Oryctolagus cuniculus: one gene and its partners. The protein of the gene in region 2 binds, or shares a complex with, the protein of the main gene of each other region. Links are inferred from orthologs where the notes say so. Each region holds a gene or a part of one and is shown on either strand. Other genes may lie near its edges.

Region 1 (4,252 bases), on a different chromosome or scaffold from region 2:
CTGCCTCTCAAGCCACCAACAAAATTTTTGCACACTGCAGCCATTTATATATATATATATATATATTCTGTGATATAGTCCCCCTTTACCTTATAAAGATATTTACATCTACAATTATTTGTAGCTGTTAACACTTAAAATTAGTAGTAAAGATTAGCCAAGAATAACTCACTGGCAATTTTGCTGATTTAAAAACAGAAGGACTGGCGAGAGTTTGCTCATGGAGATTACAATAATCACTAGGACTTTCAAAAGGATTTAAAACAGGGATCCTCCCTGGAGTTTCTGGTGATATTTGCATCTTTAATTCTTTGACTTCTCCCATAGCCTGCAGCGAAAACTAAAAAACAAAATCAGAAACATCCGTATCAAAACTATACAGTTTCACAGACAGCGACTATGACAAAATGTACTGAACAATCACATTTCATGGAAAGGATTAACTCCAAACCTAACTCTCTTGGGGCTATCTTATAGCTTACCCTCTCTCCTCCCCACCCCACCCCAAAAAAAGCATTACTTAAACATTTCCTAGAGTGCTCCTCCAATAACCCGGGAAGCCAGACTGCCACCATTCTGCAGCAGAATTAAGCTTAGAGAAGTTAAGAGGCTTCTAAGTAGCAGTCAATCAAATAGGAATGAATTCAGGCCTGCCTTCGAGGCGACTAAACGTTCCAGCAGGGAAAAATATCTTCCCTTCTGCCTACAGCTTCTCATCCATTCCTTCAAGATTCGCCACAGGCCGATACTCCAGCCACTCTGGGCCGAACTCCAGTGCTTTGTGGGCCAGCGAGCAGATGAGGAAGCCAGCGCGCGGGCGCCTTCTTCGCACAGGAGACCTTGGCCAGCCAAGTCCGACTGACGGGGGCCTCTCCGCAAACCTCCCGCTCCCGTCGCCAAGACCCTCCCGAGAGAGACAGCGAGGCCGCACGGCTTCCAGTTCAAAGGGCTCCATCTCCAGAAAAGCCAGCATCCCGCCTCTGCAAGGGCGAAGTGCAGCCGGCTTCCTCGGGTGAGCAGCGGGGAGGACGTGTCACGGCCCCGGGCCCACGCGATCGCTCTGTCTGCGCAACCCCTCTGGGCAAGACCCCACTCCCTCGCTGCTCCCGTCCCCACCCCGGGGCGAGCGGGCAGGCAGGCCTGAAGCCGAGAAAAGCAAGCCCTCCAGTCAAGAAAGGAGGGAAGCAGAGGAAAGAACTTACCCACTGGCGCGTGGGAAAAGGAATCCCTCCACAACATCAACTCCAGGATGCTCCCAAGAGGGGACCAGGCCAGCTCCCACGACAGCCGCAGACTCTTTAACTCCCCGCTTCCGCGCTGTCTTAGGCCAACCAGCGCACGGGGCCTGACGACGACTGGCCAATGGCGTCGCACCGCCGTCCGCGAACCAGCCAATCACATCCAAGCCGCGAGGTAAATTCGAATGGCAACGCCTCGCTCCCCACATTCCGCGCAGAGGAACGAGGCTCCAAATTCAAATCCACGCAGCCGCACGCTGGCGGCGAGCGCGAGGGGCGGAGCCTGCCCGGCGTGAGCGGGCGACGCGCGGTGTGATTGCCCGGGAGAAAAGCAAGGCGCTCCAGTTCCGGGTCGGGCCCGCAGCTGCCTCCCTCGGTCTCTGCCATGGCGAGCAGTAGCGGCTCCGGGGCGGCGGGGGCGGCCGCGGCGGCGAATCTGAACGCAGTGAGGGAGACCATGGACGGTGAGTGTCCCTTGTGGCCTCTTTATCTGGCCGAGGCCCCCAGGCGGAGGACAGCCCGGGGAGGACTTGAGGTCGCCTTCCCGCCCCGACGGGCATCTTGGAAGATCCCGGAAAGCGATTCGCCGGGGCCGCAAGGCTGCTGCTGGTCCTGTCCCTGCAGAGTTGTCTCTCCGCTCCTGGGTCGTTGGTCGCGCGCGGCGTCCCGGCCCCGCACGCCAGTCCGTTGCTCGCGCGCCGCGCCCACTCCGCTTCCCGCGCGCGTCCAGTGTCGGCGGAACGCTTCGGATGGAAGTCTGTGCGGACGTGGGCCGCGTGTGCGTGGCCACCGCCGTGGCCCCTGCCCCTGGCACAGCAGGGACAGGCGCTGTTTAGATATCTGTTATTAGAGTCGCCCCTGTTGCGTGTTGGAGCGGGTGACGCGTGTCCGGATGCGGTGGGCGTCGTCGCGGGCACCCCGAGGCACGTGGCGGCCAAGCCTCCACGTGGGTGGTAGACCAAGTCACCCTGTACCCTCCAATGTCGGCCCTTCGGAGTGAGTTTGGACAAACTGCTGCGACATCTTTAAGCGTGTTCTCACCACTCCGCCTCCCTCCCTCCCCGGGGCATGCAGGAAGCAGGGTTACTGTGATTATTTAAAGACAAAGCAGATAAAGGCATAGCGAGGATCGATTTGGGGGGAGGGGGATTAGATGTCAACCCGGTTGCAGCCTCCTTGCGTGAGAGGATTTGAGTGCTGTTAAATAGTCCTAGGTCCTGTTTGCAGTCTGCCACGGTATTTTCCATCTCTGTTAAAAAGAGACCGCTGTGGAATCCTCACTAGGGAGTGTCAGGCTTCCTACAATGTTTTGTTCACCGGAAGTCCCACTTGCTATCTATCAGTCCCTGCATGTAAGAGTTTCTGATGAAGGCTTCTGACTTTTTGCACTGGCTGCTGCTTTCCTCTTCAAAGACTCACCTAACACTAGTGGAGACTTTGCATTCATTTCTTACTCATCCAGTATCTACTTTGCTGGTTTTCTGAGAATTTTCTTTTATGACACGGCATCCAGCCTATTTTTCCATCCTCATTGATGTGTCATGGCATACCAATTTTATAAATGAATTTAGATTTATGTACATGAGGATTTCTGTATAAGTAATATTATCCTGTATGTTTCCTTGGAAGTCAGTGTTTCTTTTTTTTTTAAAGATTTATTTATTTATTTGAAAGTCAGAGTTAGAGAGAGAGAGAGAGGTCTTCCATGCGATAGTTCACTCCCCAACGCCAATCCGAAGCCAGGAGCCAGGAGCTTCTTCCAGGTCTCCCACGGAGGTGCAGAGGCCCAAGGACTTGGGCCATCTTGTACTGCTTTCCCAGGCCATAGCAGAGAGCTGGATCGAAAGTGGAGCAGCCGGGACTTGAGCCGGCACCCATATGGGATAACCTGTGCCACAGTGCCTGCAGGAGTATTTCCATTTTTAACAGGATGGAGAGGCTGAGGCCTTGGGTCCAGCCTGTCTTCTCTGTTAGCTGTCCTTGAGTTCCTTATTTATATTGCTGTAGGATCCCAAAGGCTTCAGTGTAGTACTACTTTATACTTAATCAGAGAGTGAATTTAAGGAATGCATCATACAGAGCCGAGGTTAGGAGAGTTCACAGTGTATTCACCTCATTTGACCTGCCCTGCAAGGCCCTGTCAGCAGAGTAAATCCAATCCAGTTATTCATTAAGTCTTTCCAATTTTTCACTCATCTCAGATTTGACCACTTGTCTTAATCTCTCCTATCACTAGTCTTTCACCAACATTATAATAACTGGACTTACTTGCCTCAGGTGCTCTGCCATTTTCCAAATCCCGTTACATATTCAGGCAGTTTTTTTTAAATGCTGATCTGATCTTCGTATATTCCCCATTTTATTATTTTCCAGTGACTTCCCTCAATTTTTTTTTTTTTAAGATTTATCTATTTATTTGAAAGTCAGAGTTATACAGAGAGAGGAGAGGCAGAGGCAGAGAGAGAAGTCTTCCATCTGCTGGTTCATTCCCCAGTTGGGCGCAGCGGCCAGAGCTGCGCTGATCTGAAGCCAGGAGCCAGAAGCTTCTTCCGGGTCTCACATACAGGTGCAGGGGCCCGAGGACTTGGGCCATCGCGTACTGCTTTCCCAGGCCACAGTAGAGAACTGGATCAAAAGTAGAGCAGCCAGAACTCGAACTGGTGCCAATATGGGATGCTGGCACGGCAGGCAGCGGTTTTACCTGCTATGCCACAGCGCTGCCCTCCACCCCACCCAATTTCTTTTTTAAAAATAGTTAAAACATTTATTTTTTTATTTGAAAGTCAGAGAGAGAGAGATGGCAGGGCTGGACCAGGCCAGGCCAAAGCCCATAAGCTGGGAATTCCATCTGGGTCTCTGGGTCTCCTGTATGGGAGGCAGAGACCCAAGTACTTGAGCCATCATCTGCTTTCCCTGGCACGTGAACGGGGAGCAGTGGAGAACTCCAGTACGAGAAGCCTTCTTTGCAAAATGCAGCTTAACCTGTGTCAAAACACCAGCCCTGCTAAGATCTT
Region 2 (3,500 bases):
TGCCGCTTCCCCAGGCCCCTGCCCTCCATCTGCTCCTGCCAGTGGCTGGGCAGGAGCCTTCCACCGAGCAGCACTGATGGACAAACTGCCCAGCCGGGACAGACACACGTCTGCTGCACAAACACCCGAGTGAGAATCCACACAGCCTGACACAGGGGCCGAGCAGGGAGTGGGGGCCCAGTCTCCTGGGAACGAGGCCTCACTCTCCAAGCTGTGGAGAAGGCCTTTTCTGTCCTGCAGGGGAAACTGCGGAGAGCCAAGCACTAACGCAGAAACACCCGCGGAGCCCACCCAGCCCAGGGCGTGGTCTGCCAGATTCAACCAACTGGGCTCTAGCCTGGCCTGGCCCCTCCAACACGGGAGCTGCAGGCCAGGTCTCCACGTGTAAAGAGGAGGATGTCCACTCCCACGCATGCAGCCGCACACACCCTCCCTGGCGCCACCACAAGACTAGGCCAGGGCATGCAGGGACCGGGCCTTCCACAAGGGGCTTCATGACAACATGGAGCCAGCCCCTCAAGGGTCCAGCTCTCCTCCCAGCTTAAGGACAAGCTGACACCACAGATGCCCACCTCTCTGCTGGACCAGATTTAAAATAAACAGGGGCCGGCCGGCGCCGTGGCTCACTAGGCTAATCCTCCGCCTAGCGGCACCGGCACACCAGGTTCTAGTCCCGGTCGGGGCGCCGGAGTCTGTCCCGGTTGCCCCTCTTCCAGTCCAGCTCTCTGCTGTGGCCCGGGAGTGCAGTGGAGGATGGCCCAAGTGCTTGGGCCCTGCACCCACACGGGAGACCAGGAGAAGCTCCTGGCTCCTGGCTTCAGATCAGCGCAGTACGCCAGCCACAGCGGCCATTGGAGCGTGAACCAAAGGTAAAGGAAGACCTTTCTCCCTGTCTCTCTCTCTCACTGTCCACTCTGCCTGTCAAAAAAATAAATAAATAAAATAAATAGGGGCCGTTGCCATGGTGTAGCAGGTAAAGCTGCTGCCTCAACACCTGACATCCCATATGGGCTTTGGTTCAACTCCCAGCTGCTCCACTTCTGATCCAGCTCCCTGCTAATGGCCTGGGAAAGCATGGAGGATGGTCCTAGTACTTGCTCCCCTCACCCATGTGGGAAACCCAGATGAAGCTCCTGGCACCTGGCTGGCCCAGTCCTGGCCCTTGCAGCCATCTGGGGAGTGAACCAGAAGGTAGAAGATTCTCTCTCCCTGTAACTCTTTCAAATAGATACATCTTTCAAAATAAACAGGAGTCGCTAAAGCTAGACAGAGTCAGGACACCAAATCCAGTGCATGGATGGTGCCAGATTCTAACTCATGAAAACCAGAGGGCCGGCGCTACGGCTCACTAGGCTAATCCTCCGCCTGCGGTGCTGGCACACCGGGTTCTAGTCCCGGTTGCGGCACCGGTTCTGTCCCAGTTGCTCCCCTTCCAGGCCAGCTCTCTGCTGTGGCCCGGGAAGGCAGTGGAGGATGGCCCAAGTGCTTGGGCCCTGCACCCCATGGGAGACCAGGAGGAAGCACCTGGCTCCTGGCTTCGGATCTGTGCAGCGTGCCGGCCATAACAGCCATTTGGGGGGGGTGGTGAACCAACAGAAGGAAGACCTTCCTCTCTGTCTCTGTCTATAACTCTGCCTGTCCAAAAAAAAAAAAAAAAAAAAGAAAGAAAAGAAAAGAAAACCAGAGATGACACAGGACAGCTGACGACATCCAGAAACAGCAGAGGCCATCACCCCCCGGTGACAGGCCAGGTGTTGTTCTGGGCTCAGTACACCCGTCTTTCTGGGGCAAGTTCTGCTGCCAGAAGCCCCACCGGGCCCCAGCTGCCCCACCTGGCCTCCCCATCCCACTTCAGCTGTCCCACCTGGCTTCCTCTCCCCCCCAGCCCCAGCTGCCCCACCTGGCTTCCTCTCCCCCCCAGCCCCAGCTGCCCCACCTTGCTTCCTCTCCCCCCCAGCCCCAGCTGCCCCACCTGGCCTTCCTCTCCCCCCCGCCCCAGCTGCCCCACCTGGCCTTCCTCTCCCCCCAGCCCCAGCTGCCCCACCTGGCCTTCCTCTCCCCCCCGCCCCAGCTGCCCCACCTGGCCTTCCTCTCCCCCCAGCCCCAGCTGCCCCACCTGGCCTTCCTCTCCCCCCAGCCCCAGCTGCCCCACCTGGCCTTCCTCTCCCCCCCCCCCCCGCCCCAGCTGCCCCACCTGGCCTTCCTCTCCCCCCCGCCCCAGCTGCCCCACCTGGCCTTCCTCTCCCCCCAGCCCCAGCTGCCCCACCTGGCTTCCTCTCCCCCCAGCCCCAGCTGCCCCACCTGGCCTTCCTCTCCCCCCCGCCCCAGCTGCCCCACCTGGCCTTCCTCTCCCCCCAGCCCCAGCTGCCCCACCTGGCCTTCCTCTCCCCCCCCCCCCCCCGCCCCAGCTGCCCCACCTGGCCTTCCTCTCCCCCCCAGCCCCAGCTGCCCCACCTGGCCTTCCTCTCCCCCCCAGCCCCAGCTGCCCCACCTGCCCCACCTGGCTTCCTCTCCCCCCACCAGCCCCACCTGGCCTTCCTCTCCCGCTCCTCCTCCAGGGCCTTCAGCCTCTTCTCCCGGTCGCGGAACTCACGGGCGAAGCTGAAATCGTCATCCAGCTCCTCCTGTCTCGCCGCGAGACGCCGCTGCGTGACACACAGCCGTTGGTTACCGAGGACTCCAGGGCCTGCACCCCTGGGGCTGGGCCTACCCACCTCCTGATCCTTCACAAACTGTTCTTTCAGCCGCTGAAACTGCTCTCGCTTCTGGGCGTCCACGGCCATCTGCTCCGACTTCTGCCGATCTGCGTCGGGGCGACGAGAGGCACAGGGTCTGCGGAGCGCCCAGCGGGGCCGGGACCCAGAGGGGAGGACTCGGGGCTGGGCTCACCACTCAGCGCGCTCAGGACCCGTGACGCTGCTTCCCGGGCGTGGACAATTAGTTCTTGCTTTGCAATTTCCATGCGTAATTCCTGGAAAAGGTCATCAGTGAGCAAAGCACCAACTTCTCCCCTCTTTACGTGGGACGGCCCGGGACACCCACCACCCCACACCGCGCACCCAGGCTGTGACAGGCTGGCGCCAGGCCACTGGTGGTGTGACCCGCCCTGAACGAGGACAAGGGGTCTTAGAGAAAGAAGCCTCTCAGGTCTGCCCCTGGCCAGGTCTCCCTGCTGCCCACCAGATGCCAGCCCCAGAGGGGGTCTCCCGCTCAACACCTGCTCGCTGAGTCCCCAGGGGACCCACAGCCCTGCTCCCAGGCGCAGCAGGGCCGCTCGTGCAGAGGCCACGCCAGCGCAGAGCCCTCGGCTGCAGGGCCCAGGGAAGAGCCGAGGCAGCCGTCCAGGTCAGCACAGGCTGGGGCACAGGTCAGGCCACCAGCCCCACAGGACAGGGCAAAGCCCCGGCCCAGCTCATTCTGACGCCTGTGGTGTCCTCACCCAGGAGCCACACCGGGCACCCCCACCCCCACCGCCACCGGGAGCCCAGGAGGCGGGGCAC
Region 3 (3,500 bases), on a different chromosome or scaffold from region 2:
TTTTTTTTGACAGTCAGTGTGGACAGTGAGAGAGAGAGAGACAGAGAGAAAGGTCTTCCTTTTCTGCTGGTTCACCCTCCAATGGCCACTGCTACCGGCGTACCGCGCTGATCCGAAGGCAGGAGCCAGGTGCTTCTCCTGGTTTCCCATGCGGGTGCAGGGCCCAAGCACTTGGGCCATCCTCCACTGCACTCCCAGGACACAGCAGAGAGCTGGCCTGGAAGAGGAGCAACCGGGGCAGAATCCGGTGCCCCGACCAGGACTAGAACCCAGGGTGCCAGCCACAGGTGGAGGATTAGCCTATTGAGCCGCGGCGCCGGCCAAGCAAAATAATTGTATCTTGGGGATCTCAAAAGAAAACAGAGACTATAGGGGCCAGCGCTGTGGCATAATGGGTAAAGCCGCCATCTGCAGTGCTGGCATCCCATATGAGCGCCAGTTTGAGTCCTGGCTGCTCCACTTCCAGTCCATCTCTTTGCTATGTCTTGGGAAAGCAGTGGAAGATGGCCTAAGTGCTTGGGCCCCTGCACCAGCATGGGAGACCTGGAAGAAGCTTCTGGCTCCTGGCTTCAGCTCGGTGCAGTTCCAGCCGTTGCAGCTTACTGGGGAGTGAAGCAGTCGATGGAAGACCTCTCTCTGTCTCTCCTCTCTCTGTGTAACTCTTACTTTCAAATAAATAAATAAATCTTAAACAAAAATCACTTTTCTGATAAGGAAACTGGTAACTCAGTAAGATAAGCCAATTTAAAAATGAGTAAACGACTTGAGTGGATACTAAGAAAACAAACGAATGGCCAAAAACATATACATGAAAAGAGGCTCTCGTTTTGGTTTAGTGGGTAAAAGCTGCCACCTGTGATACTGGCATCCCATATGGGCACTGGTTCACATCCTGGCTGCTATAGTTCTGATCTAGCTCCCTCTTAATGGCCTGGGAAATGCAGAAGAAGATGGCCAAAGTGGCTCCACGAGGGAGACTGAGATGAAACCAGGCTCTTGCATTAGTGCTGGCCATTGCGGCTATCTGAGGCACGAGCCAGCAAATGAAGATCTTTCTCTGTTTTTCTCTCTCTGTAACTCTTTCAAAATAAATGAAGTAAATCTTCAAAAAAAAAAAAAAAAAAAAAAAAAGATGAAGAGGTGCTCAATATCATGAGGTGTTAGAGAAAGGTAAACTCTAACACAGTGAGATATTACTGCATACCCTTTAGGATGTCTTCAATCAAAAGGACAGACAATAATAAGAGCTGACCAGGATATGGAGAGAGTAGAACCCTTATACTTTGCTAGTAGAAATATAAGCCTCTTTGGGAAACAATTTAGCAGCTTCTTAAAAGGCTAAGTGAAATACACAGTACCCACTAAGACAGTACTTGAGTTTAACAAAGGGTGAGAGTCCCCAGTCAGGAGAAAGAAGAGCAGCAAGGCAGGTAAGGTACAGGATGTGTCACAGCAGAGGAGGGGACGTGGTCCCATTGTGTCCAGGGTGCCCATAGTGGAGAGAACACAGAAAAATGGTTGGAGATGCTAATGAAAGGCCAAAATGGGAATTAGAGGTAGGCTCTGCCTGCCTATGTGGCTGATCCTCTGCCCCCCCCAAAAACCTCTGGGTACCAATTTTCAAATCCTGTCACACACTATTACAAGAGAATTAAGTGCACTCCTTTTGTGTCTCCCCACGGCGAGGGACATTGGAAGCTCCTGCCCGGTTTCTCCCAGCCTTTGCTCCACGCACCTTTGCCCACGTGGATCACATCTGCACCCTTCCACTGTAACAAGCACTAACAGTGAAGATGACAGCTTAAGTCTGTGAATCCTTCTAGTGAGTCACTGTGCCCACGGGTGGTTTTGGTGACGCATGACATGGTATGAAAGTGCACCTGATACGTAACAAGCACAGGCAGTTATCACCACGTGCTCGGACTGTAACAAGTGTAGGCAGTTATTGTTACCAAGTGCTGGGAAGTCATTTGGAAGTTTTAAGGTATCCAGCCTGTGCTACTATTTGAGCCAATCTCTGGTGTCTAGTTCCATAGCAGGTTTGGGGTTAGGCAATGGAGATGAGAACATGCTCTTCCTTTCATCCCAAGCTGAGGCACACCTGGTTGATGGCAATGTTAAAGTCAGTTTTCAGGAGATCCTGTTTTAGCCACTTGACAATACTAAAATTGAATAAACATAATACGTATCCTTATTATGTTATATTAGTTAATATATACCCTTGTTATATTAGCAGAAATAAGCTGACAATAATCAGATTGGAAATAGTAAAATACCCAACAGAGATCTTGTAAGTGAACCATACCTTTGTTTCGTTTACGTTGGGAAGTGATGAATTTAGAAATTCCTCAGTTAATCTCTTCCAGCTAGCAGCCTTGCTGAGATCAGAATGAATTATGAATTTCTCATGAATTCTGAAATATTTAAAACATCAACTGTTATAGAGCTATATTAACAGAAAGGTGCATAAAAATACATATATTTCTGAATGTGCACATATTTACATGAAAACCCAACTTACCCTTCTATTGTCTTTTCTATTTTGTGGCTATTGACATCCAAAAAACGATGAAACCTAACAAAAATAAAATGCAATGTTTTGGTCAGTTCTGTCACCTGGCTAAGTAGCCCTGCCTCACAGCTCTGAATATCCGTCCATAGACCCTATACTTAAACATTTCCAGGGTGCACCTCTCCCCCTTACCTCCACCATCAGACAGGCAAACAGCCCCTGTGTTCTGAGAAAGCATCCTTGCCCTGTCTGCTAGCTCCTGTGTCTTCCAACAAGGCCCTAAGTTCAGCACAGCCTATCTACATCAGGTGCTCCTAATCTTTGTTACGATTGAAGGGCCCCTGAATGATGCTTTGAAATGCAAAAATACAAAGAAAACGGAAATAAAGCCGTCAAGTAATTTTAAATATTGGTGATGGAGTTAAGAGATACATTTCTTTATTAAACATTTAAATATAGCATCTAGCAGTGGGCCTAAGGATAAGGACTGCCATTAAAGTCAGAGTAAACAATGTTCAGTAATACCTGCACAACAACTCTAATATGACATGTGGTTTTTACTGCTGACAAATCATAGGTAGGCTAACATTGCTGTGGTTTGTTGCTTTCATTCATAATTGATGAAAATGCTACTTTTCAGTTAGTGGATGGTGTAAAAATTTTTTCTCAACCAAATTCACAAGCCCCTGAATGCCAGCTTTGGACCCTCAGGTTAGAACCCTATTCTGCATCCTCCTGCAACTGACTTTGGTGTTCCTCCTTCTTAAGGACAGAGGACAGCTCTTACTTGTCTTCGAATTTTCAAGGCCTAAAATGTGGCCACAATTTTCAAAAATGTAACCATGAATCATTCATTTTTCTGATGAATTAAAGTATAACATTATAGCATAGCTCTCTCAACTTTTCCAGCTTTTTTATTTTTTATACTTATTTATTTATTTTTTTGACAGGCAGAGTTAGACAGTGAGAGAGAGAGAGGGACAGAGAG
Region 4 (4,229 bases), on a different chromosome or scaffold from region 2:
GAGTCCCTCTGGACAGTGCAGGGCAGTAAACAAATCTGTGAGTGTCCTCTGTGCCACACTTTGTGCCTGGGTCTGGAGTGACCACAGAGTGAAAACGGGCACGGTCTTGCCCTCGCCAGGCCTCCAGCCTAGTTGAGGGAGGCTGACATTGAATACAGAACAGAAAAAAGACGCTGTTAACCTGAAATATGACAAAGGAAGCTGACCTTGACTGGGTAGGCAGCGAAGTTTCACTAAGACAGTGACCCCTGAGCTGGAGCTGAAACGTGAGCAGGCACTGAGTGGGCTGAGTGGCTTATGTGGTGGCAGGGGGAGGCAGTCCCTGTGCTGGGGGACTGGCTGCCTAAAGTCACATAAGCACCCTGGAGGTTGCGACCTTACTTCGCAGTCCGACCACGGGTCTGGCTTTGGTGGTTCTTTTTGTGCTGGGCAGGGCAGGGCAGGCTGGCTGTGACTCAGGGGGGTCCCACAGCCCTCGACTCCCTCTTCTTTTGCTCACCACGCAGTCTGCGTTCTGAGTCAGCCGCTTGAGCGTGAGGAGCGAGTTGTAGGGCTGGACCACCACGTCGCTCATCTCGTCCTGGTTGGGAAACACTGAGTAGGTCTGCACCAGCTTCTTGGGGTACCTGAGGGTGAAGAAGAAGGAAAGGGGGAGGGTGGCACAGAGAAGCAACAGGACTTACCGGACTGCTCACTCTGTCTTCTGTGGGGACAATGGGCACCACGATTTTCGTGTGCCACCAAGCTCTTGTACAGTAGCAGGGTAAGGGCGGGACTCAGTCTTCAGAATGAACAGGATAAGCTGCAAGCATCAAACTCTAGATCTCCCCTGTCCCCAGGTGCCCCCCCCCCCAGGTGTTGGTTGCTGCCAAGGTTACCTGGGTGGGTCTGTCTCTAGGACTCAAAAGCAGTAGGGGCAGGCCTTCCCGCTCAGAAGGAAAAGGGGACCCGGGCTAATGCCCTCCTAACAAACACCGGCCTACCTGTCATTCAGCCGTTCCAGGAGGTAGGAGCCCATGCCAGAGCCGGTCCCCCCGGCAATGGAGTGACACAGCACGAAGCCCTGTGTGGGAGTGAAGGACAGGCAGTGACCAGGGACCTGGGCAGGGGGAGGGGGAGGCTGCCAGCTTGTCTCATTCCCCACCCACTCGCAACACACTCGTGCCTCAAGGCTTCCTCTGTGTCCGTCCAGGCCGAGGCTCCTTGGGAAGACTCAGGGCTTGGGGACAGGCTGAGGGATTCACACCCTCCAGGCTACGGCTTCCCTGAGAACAAGGACTGCACCTTATCTACCTCAAGATCCCAAACCAGATGCTCAACAAATGGGCCTGGAATTGGACTGCCACCATCCCAGGGCCTGCTCGGGCCACCGCCTGACCCCCAACACGCCGCAGCCCCTCTCCGCTGCACCCCACGGGAGCTGGGGAGAAGCTCACCTCAAGACTGTCGCTTCCGTCCGCTTCCCGGTCTATGATGTCGAAGATGTCCTCGTGGATCTTCTCACCCTGGACAGAGACATGGCAGAGAGTCAGGTCCAAGGTTCTCTGTTCAGCAACAAGAATTCCACAAGGGAGGGCGGCGGGGGAGGGCTTTGTGACCCCCCTGAAGCAGAGCTTCAGCTCTTGCCCTCAACGCAGAAATGATACTTTGTGACTTGTACAAAATTTGCATAAAGCTCTCCCTGGCTGTCCCTTTGTCAAAGCATCCCTTTATCTCTTACGTATCAGAAATCTGTTCTGGTCAAATTCCCAGGTTGCCTGAGCCTGCCTTGCCCCAGGGTGGGACTATCCAAGGGTCCCCGGCTTGGACACCTGGGAGAATCCCCTGGCCCAGTTGTTGCCAGCTCCTCCTCCGTGCTCAGCCAGGTAGATGTTCTCCGGGTTGTAGAGCTTGGCGTAGGGAGAGTTGAGGATGGAGTGGATCACCCGGGGCTCCAGGTCCAGCAGCACGGCCCGCGGGATGTAGTGCTCATCATCGGCCTGCCAGCGAGAGGCCGGGAAGGGGCGGCCCCGTCAGCCGGCGCCACCGCCGGCCCAGGCCCCAGTCCAGTCCCACTCGGGCTCCTGCCGGGCCTCCCTCCCCGAGCCAGCCGCGGGGCCCTGTGCCCAGCGGGCTCCCCAGCACCAGCCCCTGCCCCGTCCCTTCAGGCCCCCGGGGTCCTGGCCCAGCCGCCGGGGGCACCTGGTAGAAAAAGACGTCCTTGCGGTCCGTGCCCTCGGTGGCGAACTCCTCCACGATGCCCTCGGGGCTGATACCATGCTCGGCGCACAGCTGTTTCCAGAACTCGAAACCAACTGGGGAGAGGGGAGACGCCCGGGTCTGCGAGAGCCGAAAGGCCTGGGCAGCTCAGCGTCAGGCTCTGAGGCTGCCACTCTCGGAGCGTGCGCCCAGGACGCCGGCTCTGGGAGCCGTCACAGCCCAGGGCCTGCGTGGTCATGCGCAGTAGGGCAGGGGGTTCACGAGAGGGAGAGGGGACCCGGTGGGAACCAAGCACTCCCGTGGACCCCGAAGGGGCAGAACGAGAGAGTGGCGGGGCCCGGAGCTCGCTTGCTCACTCTGGTTGCCGCACTGGCCCAGCTGCAGGGTGATGATCTCCCGGGGCATCGCTCTGCGGACACGGGCCCGGCGGGAGTCACGGCCGAGACGAACGCCCGGCAGCCGGGCGCGCAGGACGTGGGCAGCGCGCGCTCCCCTCGCCTCTCGACGCGAGCGCTCGGTCTGCGCGTGTGCAGTGCGGGCGTCTGCTCCGCCGGCGGGCCGCGGAGCCCAACCTGGGCATCATTTTCCCCCATGGCAGGCGCAGCTGGAATTCGGCACAGGCGCAGAGCGAGGCCACGCCCCCGCCTGCCCACCTCTCCGCGCCTGCGCCCTGAGACTGGCGGGGGCTCGCAGGGTCGCGACCTTAGGCTGCGGGCAGGTGGGGAGAGGACGGCTGGGTGCACTAGGTAGTCCGGGTGTAGGTCCTGATGCCCTAAGGACTGTCAGCTCCGCTGGGGCCTGGGCTGGATCCAAGGCAACTTTCTTCCTTTAAATTTCTATTTTTCTAAAATTGTTTGACATACTCGTGCACAGCATAAAATCCATCATTTCAACAGTTAACAGACATTAAGTATACTCGCATTGTTCTGTACCCATCAGCACCCTCCATTTTCAGAGCATTTTCTCTTTCCCAAACTGAAACCTTACCCATTAAACAGCAACTTCCCGTCTTCGGCGCAGACCCTGGAAGTCACCATTCTTTCTCTATTAAAGCTGAATAATATTCCGTGGCATAGATACACCACATTTGTTTATCCACTCAAACCTCGGCGGACACTTGTTCCACCTTTTGGCCATTTTGAATAGTGCCCCTTTGGACGCGGGTGTACAGATATCTATTTAACTCCTTGCTTGCATACCCGGAAGTAGGATTGCTGATAACTGTGTCTAATTGAGGAATCGCCATACTCTTTTCCACAGCAGCTGCACAAGATTACGTTCCCACTGGCAGTGCTGAGGGGTTCCAGTGTTATCTCCAGCAACACTTGTTCCTCGCTAGCTTTTGATCATAGCCTGGGTGTGAAGTGGTATCTCTGAGGCTCTGTTTTACTCTAAATTACCGGAAAGGTGACATAGACAACATAATTTTATATTTTTACCATCTATTTTTGTGTTTTGAAATTTATATAAATGATACCAAAGTATAATATCAGAGAAAAGCAGCTTGCTTTTTTCACCTTACATTAGGGCTTTTTGTGATGTAGCCGTGTTAATATGGGTAGATTTAGTTCATCCCTTTTAACTGCTGTATTGTATTTCAGTGGACAAACAAAAGCAGTTTATTCTACTTCCAAACGAGTGGGGTTAGATTGTTCTCAATTAGTGGAAGGCCAGATGGGAAAGGGTGATTAACCGATACTAAGTTATAGTTAGACAGGAGAAAGGCATTCTGGTGTTGAATTGGCCTGTGGGGTGACTATGGATGACAGTAAAGTATTGTTTGCTTTCTTAAAAAGCTAGAACCCTCAAGAGCTGATAAATGTTTGCAGAGACAGATATGTTTTCTGTGGTTTGAACATCACACCATGTACGCGTTTGGAGATGTCACATAGTACTCCATACAATGCACAGTTTTGATGTTTTTTAAAGATTGTTCTCAATAACCCCCCACCACAGGGGCACAGGAGCTGCCTGCCTACGAACAGGAAGCGCCAAGTCTCTGTGGAGGCTTGCACAGCTTGGGGCTTATT
Region 5 (4,265 bases), on a different chromosome or scaffold from region 2:
TAACACACTGCGCCACAGTGTTAGCCCTGGCTGCTTCAGTTCTGATCCAGTTCCCTGCTAATGGCCTGGGAAAATCAGCAGATAGGCCCAGAGAGGCAGAGATGGATGGATGGATAGACAGACAGACAGATATAGACAGAGTGAGAGTCGGTCTTCCATCCGTTGGTTCATTCCTCAAATGGCCACAGTGGCCAGAGCTGGGCCTATCTGAAGCCAGAGCCTGGAGTGTCTTCTGGGTCTCCTACATGGGTGCCAGGGTCCAAGCACTTGGGACACCTTCTACTGTTTTCCCAGGCCATAGCAGAGAGCTGGATTGGAAGTGAAGCAGCCTGGACTAGAACCCGTGCCCATATAGGATGCTGGCACTGCAGGTGGCAGCTTTACCTGCTCTGCCACAGTGCCAGCCCCAAATCAATCAACTTTTAATGAACACCTACTATACCCCAAGTACTGTGCTAACATTCTGAGATTTAAAAAGTACACAAAATCAGATAAAGCTACCATTCCAAAGCAACTTATAACACATCACATATTCACATTGTAACTATTGTCTTTGGTTGATGCCATCTTTTTTTTAAATTTTATTTATTTATTTGGAAGTCAGAGTTACATAGAGAGAGAAGGAAAGGCAGAGAGAGAGAAGGAGAGAGAGAGAGAGGAGAGAGAGAGAAAGTCTTCCATCTGCTGGCTCACTCCCTAATTTGCCGCAACGCCCGGAAATGCGCTGATCCGAAGCCAGGAGCTTCCTCCGGGTATCCCATGTGGGTGTAGGGGCCCAAGGACTTGGGCCATCTTCCACTGCTTTCCCAGACCGTAGCAGAGAGCTGGATTGGAAGTGCAGCACCCAGGATTAGAACTGGCACCCATATGGGATGTGGACACTGTAGGCAGCAGCTTTACCCGCTACGCCACAGTGCTGGCCCCTGATGCCATCTTTATATGCCCATAAATGTGGTCATAAATAGGCAAAGGACAATTTTTGTTACTGAGTCCACAATAACCTAATTAGGAATTCATTTAATGTAGATCTTAATGACATAATACTAATTATATCTTCAAGCCAATAGTTTATGAAGTGGTATAACAGTGCTTAAGAACTTGATCCCTGGAATAAGACTACTTCAGTCTGAATCTGTGAGTTGCCTCCTACTTGCCTCATAGCTAAGCCAAGTTAATGTACCTCTCTGTGCTCAGTTTTGATTCTTACAGAGGCAATAATTGTGAGTATTGAATTGTTAATGTGCCTGGGAAAACAGTGGAAAATGGTCTAGGTACTTGGGCCCTTGCTAACCTTGTAGGAGACCCAGATGAAGTTCCAAGCTCCGGACTTCAGCCTGGCCCAGCCCTGGTGTCCTGTGGTATTTTGGGGAGTGACCCAACGGATGGAGGATCTCTTGCTCTGTCTCTCCCTCTCTGTCACTCTTCAAGATAAATAAATGTTTAATTTAAAAAAAAAAAAAGAAGAATACACATGAAGCACATGCGCCAGGGCCAGCAGTGTGGTGTGGCAGGGTGCACCACTGAGTGCGATGCTGGCATCCCATACTGGAGAAATATGCTTGGGAAAAATGTGCTTGGGAAAGCAGCAGAGAATGGCCCAAGTGCTTAGGCCCATGCACCCATGTGGGAGACCTTGGGTGCTCAAAACATACAAGCAATTCTTATCATCAAGATAGCTCTGCCAATAAGATTTCCTGTTGACATAGTTTTAGAAAATTTTAAAAAAAATTATGGGTAACATTACTGGAGCAGGAACAGCAAACAATTCCTTAAAGTTACCAACACAGCTGGCGCTGTGGCATACTGGGCTAAGCCTCCACTGGCCGTATCGGCATCCCATGTGGCCGCCGGTTCGAGTCCCGGCTGCTCCACTTCCGATCCAACTTCCTGCTATGGTCTAGAAAAGCAGTGGAAGATGGCCCAAGTGCTAGGGCTCCTGCACCTGCGGGGGAGACCTGGAAGAAGCTCCTGGCTCCTGGATTCGGACTGGCGCAGCTCCGGCCGTTGCAGCCATTTGGGGAGTGACTTTCTCTCAGTCTCTCCCTCTCACTGTCTGTAACTCTACCTCTCAAATAAATCAATCTAAAAAAAAAAAAAAAAACAACTAAGATAATTATTAGGTATGTGACACAGGGGAATATTTACGGATCTGTGCCCCAATTAATCTGTAAAATGGGTACAAGTGGTCGTGTGGATTAAAGGAGCTCACCTACGCCCTAACTATCTATGGATATCACATGACTCTTCCTCCTCATACATCTCTCATTCCTGGTAACACGAAGACCCCCAAGCAAGTTCTCCACCTGGTGCAGGTATATTTTGGGAAAAGAGTCAGGAGGGAAACGCTCCACACGCTCTTGAAATCTCTTTTTCCATTCAGTCAAGTTTGCTGGGCGCTGTGTTTCTGAACCAGAATGCAAAGCTCAGAATGCTGGAGTGAAAGTGAACAGGATTAAGTGCCTTCCTCACTTATAACCAGGCCCCCTGTACCTGTCATTCAGACACCGCCACCTTACGCCCTGTCCCCACACCCCGCGGCAAGGCAGGGCTGTTGGGGGGGTCTGTCCTCGGTTTCTCATGCTAGCATTTCCCTCACCCTTAGGCCGTGGGGGGCTGCCCTCTATGCGGCCCCAGCCCCCGCAGGTCCCGCCCTCCGGGTCCCTCAGTGGCTCAGGTCAGCCGAGTCTGCTCCCTCGTTCCCGCGCTCTCAGCCGCACAGTACCTGCAGGCCACTCCGCTTGTTCCAGGTGAAAATGGAGCCCGGGTACCCGCTCAGAGCCAAGAGCAGCTCGTGGATCATGCCCACGGCGGACTTCGAGTCTCTGGGGACGTGACCCTCTCCTCCAGCGTCCTCTCAGGAGAACACGGGGGCGAGGACCTCCTTCCACATGCACGCACGCCCTTAGCTCCGGCGGCTCGTTCCGACTGCACCCGCCCGGACCACGGCTGCGGGAGGAGAGGAGGCTAGGCGGCGAAAGTGACCGCGCGCCGGGTCCCGGAAGTGCGCCGGGCTCCGCGCGGCCCTCCGCTTAGCTCGCGCCAGCTCCAGCCGCGCTGCTGCCGACTTGCGGTCTGCGCAGCGCTCCCGGCGCATGCGCCTTCGGCGCCCCCGAGTTGCCCGCTCGGACTTCCGGTTTGGGAGCTGGTCTGGGTGGTGTGAGAGTCCTGGCTGGGGCTGATCCCGGAGTGGGAGAGGCTGAGCGGGGGTCAGTTATGCGAGTGACTAGAGAGACAGTCCCAGAGACAGACGCTCCTAGATGTGGACCGGAGGGTGCTCTCAGGGCGCCTTGACCCTATCAGAGGCCTCAGGAGGAACTGCAGGACGACTCCGGGAGTGACCCGGCCGGAGGGAGCGAAGACAAAGAGGCCGGAGCCGCACACCCGCTGATCCTTGAGCGGAGTTCAGCGCCCGCGAGTCCGCCGCACTTGGAGCCCCTAGTCAGCACCGAGCTCGTCCTCAGGAGACCCATTCCTGCTGCCCCTCGGACCCCCGCTCCTCACCAACTCAGTGAGACGCTCCCCAGGCCCACCCGGTGCCTGCTTCAGGAGCCACCCACAGCAGCTGCTCCCGATGCACGCGGTTTCCCGTCAGTAGCCCCCGACCCCTTGCTGGGAAGGGAAAACAAAGACCCGATATTCCCGACTCGGCTTTTGTCGGTGGTGGGCACTGGTAGTTGCGGAGTGAGAGGGGCGGGGCGGAGGCACTGGGGGAGATCAGCTGCTACCCGCTGGACAGAGAGGCTTGTTGTTGCCTTCAGCCGTGTGACTTGCTTTTAGATCCTGGCTTCCCATATGGCTGGCACTCACTGTGCAACACTGATCAGGAGAATGAAATGGGAGCAGATCTGGGGGAGGTGGGAAAGGAGCAAGGCAGTGCTGTTTTCTGCTTCCTGGGGCTGTCCAGAAACACAGCTTTTGAAAGGTCTTTCTCCTTCATGCTCCGTGTTGGCTTATCGCCCTGAAGGCGCTGCCTCACGCGGCTACTTGGAGCATGTAGGAAGTCAGGCCAGCTCTAACAAGGCTTTAGACGTATGAATATATTCCTTCTGATAGTGTCCTCTCTCTCTCTACCCTAGAAAGAGACTCCTCTCACAGACAGAGACTTATCTGCAGGTGATTCTCCAAGGACATGGGAAGATAGGAGTAAGCCCTGGAACCCACGCCCTGAGCGGAGGGCCGCTGCTTTCTGCTGGAATGATGGCCAACCCCGCCCTGAGAGGGAATGGCACTAACTCGGAGACCTTTCGGCAGCGCTTCAGGAGGTT
Region 6 (3,500 bases), on a different chromosome or scaffold from region 2:
TCACTGCCCGAGAGCAGCAGAGGACAGCCCAAGTGCTTGGGCCCCTGCAGCCACGGGGGAGGCCTTGAGGGAGCTTCCAGACCCTGCCTTCGGTCTGAGCCAGCCCTGGCTGGTGTAGGCATTTGGGGAGTGAACCAGAGGATGGAAGTGTTCTGTCTGTCTGTCCGTCTCTCTGTGCCTCTCAAGTAAGTTACAGAAAACCAGAAGATAAAGTACATCAAGTGACAGCAGGGATTTAAAACACCTCGAAAGGAATGTTAGGCTTGTATCACATCAGCCTCTGTAGTCCAGTCCTGGCTGTTGTGGCCACTTGGGGAGGGGACCAGCAGAAGGAGGGTCTCTGTCACTCTGCCATTCAAATAAATAAATCTAAAAAAAGTTAGTTTATTTTGGTAGTGAAACAATCTGAAATCCATGTGCGTTTTTCATAACACACATTTCCCGTGACCTTTTTGAAGACCTCCCATGTGTTGGGTTCTCACAGGCAGCCCCATCGCGAGAGAACTTCTCCTGGGGAGTTGCACCACCTCAACCCCCCACCCTGGCAGAACGGGCGTCTTTCTTCCTGTCCTTGCTCTTCCCGGCCTGACCTCATTTACGAGTTGGTAGACTTCGGCCTTCTGGAAATATAGCATCTAATAGCATTCATTTCATCTTAAAATGTGTTTATTAGTAACTATTCTTCGTTTTGCAGGGACATCGGAAGTTACCGAAGCAGCTCTCGTGAGAGATATTTTGTACGTCTTCCAGGGCATAGATGGCAAAAATATCAAAATGAGCAACACTGAAAACTGTTACAAAGTGGAAGGAAAGGTACCGTGACATAAATCTAGTTTAAAATATTCAAAAGGATCATTAAGTGCAGTTAGTGAGCTGTTAGACTATCAGGTATCAGGGTTTGTACTGCGTAAGTGCACTGCCAACGTGTGGTTTATGCGTCCCTGTCCAGTTTGTGGCTGGTGTGATTCTGTTACTGGGCCCTCTGGGCAGTGCCTGCTTCCTCTCATATTCACTATGCAGCTGCCCATGGAGCCCTATACCCGCATTCTGCAGCAGAGGTCACGGCCTTGAGGGACAGGTGCAGCTCAGGGGTCTTTGCTTGATCCTTTCCTCTTCCGGAACCTGCCTTTCCCGTGGCACCCTTGGCCCCAGCCCTTCACAGAGCGACTGTCACAGCCTCTGTCTCACTGAGGACCAGGCCCAGGCCCAGCAGCGCTACACAGATGGATGTGACACAGCTTAGCATTCCTGTCAAGGCGCTGTCACTTGATGCGTTTTGTTTTCTGTAACTTACTTGAGAGGCAGGGAGACAGACATACAGAACACTTCCATCCTCTGGTTTACTCCCCAAATGCCTACACCAGCTGGGGCTGGGTCAGACCTAAGGCAGGATTTGCAAGCTCAATCTGTCCTTCCTCTGTGGGTGGCAGAGACCTAAAGCCTTGAGCCTCTCAGGGTCTACATGGGCAGGAAGCTGGAGTCAGGAGCTGGACCAGGAGTGGAGCCCAGGCACTGCAGGGGTAACTGCCAGGCTGATGCCCACCCCGATGCCTTTTCTTTTGTTGATGGTGGATTAGTTATTGTTAACGTCCATGTGGGGCAGCCCAAGAAGTTTCATATTAAAGTACACGTGGTTGAAAAATGAAATTAAAATTCTGGTATTGGTCTTCAGTTTTTAACTCTGAATATATTTACTTTTAGGCAAACCTGAGTAAATCTTTGAGGGACACGGCAGTGCGACTCGCGGAGCTGGGGTGGCTGCATAATAAAATCAGGAAGTACACTGACCACAGGAGTCTGGACCGCTCCTTCGGACTTGTAGGTCAGGTGCGTCCACTGTCTCTAAAATACTGGGGAGTGCTGGATCCACCTTAAATCTCTGTGAAAATAACTCTGAAGCGGGCTCTTTGTAAAGAGAGCGGTTTTGAGAATTGTATCATCAGGATCCACTCTGGAAGACAGAAGCTACTGCGGTGTTGGCAGAGCCTGCTGAATGCAGCAGATGGGTTGAGCAGTGAAAGGAGACAGCCTGGAGCATGTGGTCACTTGGGAGCCGGCGAGAGTGGAGCCGTCAGGCCCCAGAGCGTGGGGGACCTGCTCGCTGCTCTCCTGCTTCAGGCAGGTGGAGGAGTGGCCCTGCTGGGACACAGGTCTGTGAGCAGGGCATCTGCCGCTGCATTGGCCAGCCCTGCTGCTGCCATCGCTGATGGACAAGCAAGTTGTTGGGGCTGGTGTGCTATTCCTTCTCCCTCCTCCTGCCTGGTGTTAGGAAGTGGTGGACATAAAGAAGTGGTATTAGATTTTTATTTTCCCAATTTTTTGTATTTACTAGAGAGACAGACAGATCCCTCCAATGCCTGCAGTAGCTGGGACTGGGCTAGGGCCACAGCTAGGAGCTCAGTGCAGGCCTCCAGCCTGGGCAGTAGGAGCCACCACTTGAGCTGTCACCGTTACCTCCCAGGGTCTGCAGTAGCAAGAAGCTGGAGTTGAGCTGGGGCTGTGACTGGCACACAGGGCCCTGATGTGGGGCCAGGCGTCTTAGCTGCCAGGCCAAACAGCTGCTCTCTGCAGTAACGCCCTCCTCCCCCTGTCCCTTTTAAGAAAAGATAATTTATTTGAGAGGCAGAGTTACAGAGAGAGGGAGAGACAGAGAAAGAGATCTTCCATCTGCTGGTTCACTCCTCAGATGGCCGCAGTGGCCGGAGCTGGGCAATCTGAAGTCAGGAGCCGAGAACTCCATCCAGGTCTCCCAGGTGGCGGTCTGAGCCTAATACTTGGGCCATCTCATCTTCTGCCTTCCCAGGAGCATTAGCAGGAAAGTGGGTCAGAAGTGAAGCAGCTGGGACTTGAATCAGCACTCACGGGGTGCCCTTGTCTCCTGATACAGGCTTAACCCACTGTGCCACAGTGCCGGCTCCCTCTCCCCAGTCCCTTTTTAATTGTTAGGTGGTGCATAGTTGTGGGCACAGCTTGATTCTTGGGCAGTGACCATTGCCATTCTAATTCTCCGAAAAGTCACAGAGGAATCACAGAACAGCTCTGCCTACAAGTACCCGTCGGGGTGCTGGTGGGAGTTGTGCGACTGTGTCTCTGCCCTGGGGGCTGGGGTTGGGCTTCGGTAAGACAGGGTGCTGTGCCGTGGTTTGCTCCGAGTGCTACTTAAGAAACCTGGGCTGAAGCTTGGCGGGATCCAGGCTGTGGTCAGCACGTGGGGGCCGTTGAGGGGCCAGAATTTAGTGCCGCTGCACGTCACCAGGACTGTCTGAAGGCGTCGCCTTGGCACCAGCACGGGGCGGTGTGCAGGAGTGCGTCTCGCCGCATTGTTCTTTTCCCTTTCCCCGCAGAGCTTCTGTGCCGCCCTGCACCAGGAACTCAAAGAGTACTACCGGTTGCTCTCTGTTTTACACTCCCAGGTAAACTTTGTTGTTATTTTGATTTCTCCGTGATTTGAAAGGTTAAAAAGTGAAGCTATTATAGAATATTATAAATTGCTGCATACA
Region 7 (4,062 bases), on a different chromosome or scaffold from region 2:
GACAGCCACCATCCTCAGTTGCTGATGGAGAGACCCCATCTTCACAGCCATACAGACACCAGAGGCTAGACGGAGCACGGTTGATTGCTCTCCACCCTTCCTGATGAAGGACTGACATCCAACAGCATAGGAGAGATGCTGGATACAGAAAGAAATGTGATCATTTCACTCTAGCCAATTTTCGCCTCTTGTTAAATTCCTTTCTTTGCCACACATTAAGAACACTGTCATTAGATGAAAAGACAAATCTGTATGCTTCTGATTTTAACTGCTTTGCCTTTTAAAGTATATGTTGCTCTAAGTATATAGTATCTTGAACTTTGTGGATCATGACTCACAGTAATATGTTTTATGTCATAACCCAGTACATTCACAAAATATATACAATTTAAAACAAAAGTTCATGAAAGCTACCCTCACGGCATGCAGTAGATGTGGTAAGTTTCTATGTTAGTCTTCTTTGTTAATGCTGGCTACACACCACAAATCTACTTCATGACAGAATAATAGGTCACCTCCAACAGTTTGAGAAACATAAGCCTCGCCAAGTAGATGATATATAGCTAGACAGACAGACAACAGACAGTCTGGCATCTGCATACAGACTGTATCTCATGTTATTCTGCCCCATGTACCTCCCAAAGCAGCTAACCCTGCACCACCTCACAACCCAGTTTCTATTTTTGTACTCTATTAAACCATAAGTTGCTCAAATTTATGCTTGCCCCTTTCTGCCTCAGGAACTGTGATCTTGTTAGTGCACCCTGAAGATCCAGATCAGCACGTTTTGTATCATTTAGGTCTCAATACCAAAAGTCCTTTCTTCAGAAGGGCCTTCACTGACCATCTAATTGAAAGAATCACCAACCATGAAACCCCAGCCAGGATGGGAACAAAGAAGGCAGGCAGAGCACTTTACTGCTGTTTGCTCTTAGCATTGCCGGAAACTCTGAGTGAAAACAGCAAACAAAGCAAAAAGTAGCAGACAGGAAAAATAAACAGTATTTAATGAATGTCACTTTTCAGCTCCCTATGCCACTGCACAGGTCATTGAATTCTAAGCACTGATATTCTCTACCATTTGCCACATGACGGCTTTAACGATGCTCTAGCTGAGAAGTGAGGACTCTGTCCTGCAATCTCCTTCTCGTTCAGACCACTTACCTCATTCTTTCCTCTTCTCTTATGCATTCAGCAAACATTTGAGTGCCAAATATGCTCTAAGCAATAGCAGTGAACATAGTAAACATCTATACCTCTAACAGTTCACAGTTTAGGAAGGGTGACAAAGCTATAAACAAATAATTTCAAGTAAAGGTGGTATCTACAATAAAAGAAATGTGTACTATATACAGTGGTGACAAGAAAGAATAAACAGTTACCTCTTGTGGAGTGTAGGAAAAGCCATGACAGAAAGAGAGACACTTAAGCTGAGTCTTGGAAGGATCAATAGGAGTTTCATATGCAAGAAAAGGGAAAAGGGCAGAAGCAGTACCATGTGCCAAGCAGAGGGAAGAGACATACTGCCAGTTTGAAGTTGTCTGCTATGTTCAGTAGTAAGTAGCTAAAAGGCAAACGGCTAAAAGGAGTATCCAGGAAAGGGACAGCCAAGAAAGAAGCTAGAAAGGTAAGTGCTAGCTTGTGGAGGGCCTCTTGTGTGCCATTCCAAACTTTACTGTAGGAAACGGAAGTCTAGACTTTCAAAGAGGTGAGTAGCATTAACAGATGGGAACTTAGTAACTTCTTCCTTGTGGCAGAAAAAACGATAGATTAGAAAATTGCCAGACCAGACTGTAAAAGAAATGAATATAATAGCTAACGTAAAAATGAGGAAATTCTAAACAAAAATAATGACCAATTGAATATGGGAAATGTCAGAGAAAGGGGAATGTAGGATGTCACTGATTTCTAGTTTCAGTTATAATACAGTGGTATCATTAAATAACATGGTGAAAAACAGGAGAAACCAGGCAGAAAGACAGCAAAATCACTTATAGGCTTATTGAAAATGGAAACATGGAGCCTCATCCCTATTCATGCAAAAATTTAGGAGGGAAGCTCAAGCAAGTGAATTCTAGAAGCTCTCAAGTGATCCTGAAAGTTATTCCTGTTAAGCAGCACGGACATAGCAGGTAGTCAGCTGGATGCAAGCGAGCCGATCCACTCTACAAATATGATTAAGGGGCCTTTACAGAGTGTGGGGCAGTGCTCTGGCACTCCGCGGGGCAGACTCCAGGCCCTAGCGAGATTCGGGCCAGTGTTGCCACAGTCACCTACACACCACCATCTGCCTTTTAGGTGGAACGTTACTGTGAAGTCCACAAGCCTGAAAAACGCACTGATGAATAATGCATACCCAAAAGAGGAGGCTGGTTTGAAATAATATCTCACCTGAGGCTCCGCGTCTTAACCCTAAACTTTCTGTTGCCTTACTTTAAGGGCTTACGGTAATATTAGAGCGGAATTCAGGGCGCTGCAAGAAACAGAATGGGGAGAATGCAGGGACAGCCCACGGCAAATGGGGGAGAGAGAATGGGGAGAAGACAGGGTTGCGGACGCCTCCGAGGGCCCATCGACCCAACACTTGCGAAGCTGCGTAACCAGGAACCCGGAGCGGCTCTTCTGGTCGGCCTTAGCACTCACCATAGTTTCAGGATCTCAGCACGAGGAAGCCGAGTTGCCCCAGGAAGGCACCGCCATCCACACCATCATCCGGTTACTCTGGCAACAGGGCCCCGCCCCCTGCCGGACACCCCGGGAGACGTCAGCGGTCAGCCCCTTCGTCCCTAGTGGCTGGGAGTCCTCGCAGTGACGCCCAGCTCATTGACAGATCCGCCCCTTCACGCTGTCTCCTGGGGCGACAGGACGCCTCCCGCCTCTTGCCAGCATTTTCACTTCCGTTTGGTTGGCAGATGACCCGGAAGTTTAAGTTAACACGCGGCTAGGCGCCAAAGAGCGCACTATTTTATTTTGAAATAAACCCCTCTCCAGCTTTCCATTGATGAGGCGAGACGCTGTATCGTCTGCGTTACTTGAATTTAAACGCACCACAGACTGTGTGTTCTCGCCTCTGTGGGAAGAATATTCCGGAAGTGAAACCCTGGGTAATCGGAAGTGATCATGACTGACACAGCGGCTGGTTGTCCGGAAGGCCTGGGCGGGTCTGCTTCGGCATGGGCGAGGAGCGAATCCGGGAACCTGTAACGTGAAACCGCCGAAATAGAAAAGGAATCCCGAGGTAACTTAGACGATAGGCTTGTGTAACTCCGAGGTGACGCTGGAGAGGCGCGCGCGTCGGTCGGAGCTCGGTGGCCAGTGGCGTCGGGTATAGAGAAAGAGTGGACCGGGGAGGCTTGTTGTGACAGGAACGAAACTTGGCGTTGGAATCCCCGGGACAGCCACGCCTGCAGCCTTGGTTCCTGGGCATCCTGGGTATTTGCCGTCAGACTGGCTGCTCCTGTACGTTTCGCAGCCGGTCTTCAAAGCGCGGTTTCAGGACTCGGTACGCCGGGTGCCTGTTTTTAGAGCCGTGGAATATAAGTGGAAGAGGGTTTGTGACTGTTGAGGAACCTGTCTTGGGAGGCCTTAGACTCACTGATCGTTTTTGAAGCCGGGAGTGACCTGTTCTGTTCATCACATGAGTGCCACCCTCCTTGGCATGTTTTCCGGTAAATCTGAGTATACTCTAAGGTTGTGCATACCTTTCCGAAAGTATCTGTTCCATGTGTATTTCTCTCTGTTGTTAGAAGCAACATCATTTAATTTTTTTTTTTTTTTGACAGACCTAGTGACAGAGAGTTAGAGAGAGAAATATCTTCCATCCCCCAGTTCGCTCCCCAGATAGCCTCAACGGCATGAGCTGAGCCATCAAAAGCCGGAGATGCTTCTAGGTCCCGCACGTGGGTGCAGGGTCCACTGCCTTCCAGGCGCGCTAGCAGGGAGCTGGATCAGAAGTGGAACAGCTAGGACTCGAACCAGTGCCCATATGGGATGCTGACGCCGCAGGCCCCAGTCCACAGCGCCAGCCTCTACCACTTAAATTTTATTCCCAGAAGAATTAAA

The links.
Region 1: the proteins of TUBGCP6 (region 2) and MZT1 are in contact, whole or in part, in a crystal structure (PDB 6M33), measured with the Homo sapiens proteins. The link is inferred for Oryctolagus cuniculus from reciprocal best matches to the Homo sapiens genes TUBGCP6 and MZT1. Residues at the interface, in NP_065194.3 of Homo sapiens: Met1, Ala2, Ile4, Leu7, Phe8, Asp10, Leu11, Cys12, Ala14, Leu15, Pro17, Ala33, Leu37, Val40, Ala41, Ala44, Leu45, Asn48, Ile70, Leu73, Lys85, Arg88, Leu89, Leu92, Val93, Glu95, Leu96, Leu104, Leu105, Ser109; in NP_001065243.1 of Homo sapiens: Asn17, Ala20, Val21, Thr24, Val27, Leu28, Glu30, Ile31, Ser32, Ile34, Leu35, Asn36, Thr37, Leu39, Glu42, Thr43, Leu44, Ile46, Cys47, Arg49, Leu50, Cys51, Glu52, Gln53, Ile55, Asn56, Pro57, Glu58, Ala59, Leu60.
Region 3: the proteins of TUBGCP6 (region 2) and TUBGCP5 are in contact, whole or in part, in a cryo-EM structure (PDB 7QJE), measured with the Homo sapiens proteins. The link is inferred for Oryctolagus cuniculus from reciprocal best matches to the Homo sapiens genes TUBGCP6 and TUBGCP5. Residues at the interface, in NP_065194.3 of Homo sapiens: Glu290, Ala291, Ser292, Lys293, Arg294, Arg295, Cys296, Trp297, Glu298, Arg299, Val300, Gly301, Cys302, Pro303, Pro304, His306, Arg307, Glu308, Glu309, Pro310, Tyr311, Leu312, Glu314, Lys322, Arg325, Leu326; in NP_443135.3 of Homo sapiens: Asp211, Asp212, Arg213, Trp215, Leu216, His219, Val220, Val221, His222, Trp225, Ser230, Phe232, Pro233, His234, Leu238, His239, Ser240, Asn241, Leu242, Leu264, Val265, Thr266, Glu267, Thr268, Gln269, Arg272, Val302, Thr303, His304, Leu305.
Region 4: TUBGCP6 (region 2) and TUBG2 share a complex: the UniProt entries of both Homo sapiens proteins name them as parts of the gamma-tubulin ring complex. The link is inferred for Oryctolagus cuniculus from reciprocal best matches to the Homo sapiens genes TUBGCP6 and TUBG2.
Region 5: the proteins of TUBGCP6 (region 2) and TUBGCP4 are in contact, whole or in part, in a cryo-EM structure (PDB 7QJE), measured with the Homo sapiens proteins. The link is inferred for Oryctolagus cuniculus from reciprocal best matches to the Homo sapiens genes TUBGCP6 and TUBGCP4. Residues at the interface, in NP_065194.3 of Homo sapiens: Leu312, Thr313, Ala315, Gly316, Arg317, Ala319, Phe320, Phe323, Leu326, His327, Glu349, Pro390, Glu391, Ser392, Ser395, Leu396, Glu399, Tyr403, Ser455, Leu456, Leu457, Thr458, Gly460, Phe461, Lys464, Lys465, Arg468, Arg471, Tyr472, Glu475; in NP_001273343.1 of Homo sapiens: Met1, Ile2, His3, Glu4, Leu6, Leu7, Ser10, Gly11, Tyr12, Pro13, Gly14, Ser15, Ile16, Gln29, Phe31, Pro32, Phe33, Leu34, His35, Pro36, Glu38, Thr56, Ile59, Glu60, Thr63, Val66, Gln67, Gln68, Ile84, Arg87.
Region 6: the proteins of TUBGCP6 (region 2) and TUBGCP3 are in contact, whole or in part, in a cryo-EM structure (PDB 6X0U), measured with the Homo sapiens proteins. The link is inferred for Oryctolagus cuniculus from reciprocal best matches to the Homo sapiens genes TUBGCP6 and TUBGCP3. Residues at the interface, in NP_065194.3 of Homo sapiens: Pro65, Arg67, Asn68, Leu71, Met72, Ser74, Phe75, Asp76, Arg78, Asp87, Glu90, Asp151; in NP_006313.1 of Homo sapiens: Pro9, Asn10, Val11, Leu13, Gln14, Glu25, Ala26, Ala29, Gln30, Phe32, Gln33, Val36, Arg37, Ile39, Gly40, Ser41, Phe43, Thr129.
Region 7: TUBGCP6 (region 2) and NME7 share a complex: the UniProt entries of both Homo sapiens proteins name them as parts of the gamma-tubulin ring complex. The link is inferred for Oryctolagus cuniculus from reciprocal best matches to the Homo sapiens genes TUBGCP6 and NME7.

What each region holds. Positions count from the first base shown.
Region 1 is NC_091440.1:40,016,012-40,020,263, forward strand, and holds the start of MZT1 (mitotic-spindle organizing protein 1), read left to right. Parts: upstream 1-1,452; 5' UTR 1,453-1,623; coding exon 1,624-1,702; intron 1,703-4,252. Other genes in the region: BORA (protein aurora borealis), read right to left, coding at 173-340, 1,207-1,239. UniProt on the Homo sapiens protein: Required for the recruitment and the assembly of the gamma-tubulin ring complex (gTuRC) at the centrosome.
Region 2 is NC_091442.1:123,182,238-123,185,737, forward strand, and holds part of TUBGCP6 (gamma-tubulin complex component 6), read right to left. Parts: intron 2,972-3,500; coding exon 2,890-2,971; intron 2,804-2,889; coding exon 2,715-2,803; intron 2,646-2,714; coding exon 2,530-2,645; intron 1-2,529. UniProt on the Homo sapiens protein: Component of the gamma-tubulin ring complex (gTuRC) which mediates microtubule nucleation.
Region 3 is NC_091443.1:17,671,358-17,674,857, forward strand, and holds part of TUBGCP5 (gamma-tubulin complex component 5), read right to left. Parts: intron 2,576-3,500; coding exon 2,522-2,575; intron 2,415-2,521; coding exon 2,306-2,414; intron 1-2,305. UniProt on the Homo sapiens protein: Component of the gamma-tubulin ring complex (gTuRC) which mediates microtubule nucleation.
Region 4 is NC_091448.1:20,231,109-20,235,337, forward strand, and holds the start of TUBG2 (tubulin gamma-2 chain), read right to left. Parts: upstream 2,801-4,229; 5' UTR 2,605-2,800; coding exon 2,556-2,604; intron 2,295-2,555; coding exon 2,182-2,294; intron 1,980-2,181; coding exon 1,812-1,979; intron 1,506-1,811; coding exon 1,437-1,505; intron 1,064-1,436; coding exon 984-1,063; intron 627-983; coding exon 500-626; intron 1-499. UniProt on the Homo sapiens protein: Tubulin is the major constituent of microtubules, protein filaments consisting of alpha- and beta-tubulin heterodimers. Gamma-tubulin is a key component of the gamma-tubulin ring complex (gTuRC) which mediates microtubule nucleation.
Region 5 is NC_091443.1:66,338,390-66,342,654, reverse strand, and holds the start of TUBGCP4 (gamma-tubulin complex component 4), read right to left. Parts: upstream 2,801-4,265; coding exon 2,723-2,800; intron 1-2,722. Other genes in the region: ZSCAN29 (zinc finger and SCAN domain-containing protein 29), read left to right, coding at 4,195-4,265. UniProt on the Homo sapiens protein: Component of the gamma-tubulin ring complex (gTuRC) which mediates microtubule nucleation.
Region 6 is NC_091440.1:1,197,272-1,200,771, forward strand, and holds part of TUBGCP3 (gamma-tubulin complex component 3), read left to right. Parts: intron 1-694; coding exon 695-813; intron 814-1,701; coding exon 1,702-1,827; intron 1,828-3,344; coding exon 3,345-3,413; intron 3,414-3,500. UniProt on the Homo sapiens protein: Component of the gamma-tubulin ring complex (gTuRC) which mediates microtubule nucleation.
Region 7 is NC_091438.1:29,352,254-29,356,315, reverse strand, and holds the start of NME7 (nucleoside diphosphate kinase homolog 7), read right to left. Parts: upstream 2,801-4,062; 5' UTR 2,647-2,800; coding exon 2,644-2,646; intron 1-2,643. UniProt on the Homo sapiens protein: Possesses an intrinsic kinase activity. Displays 3'-5' exonuclease activity with a preference for single-stranded DNA. Does not seem to have nucleoside diphosphate kinase activity.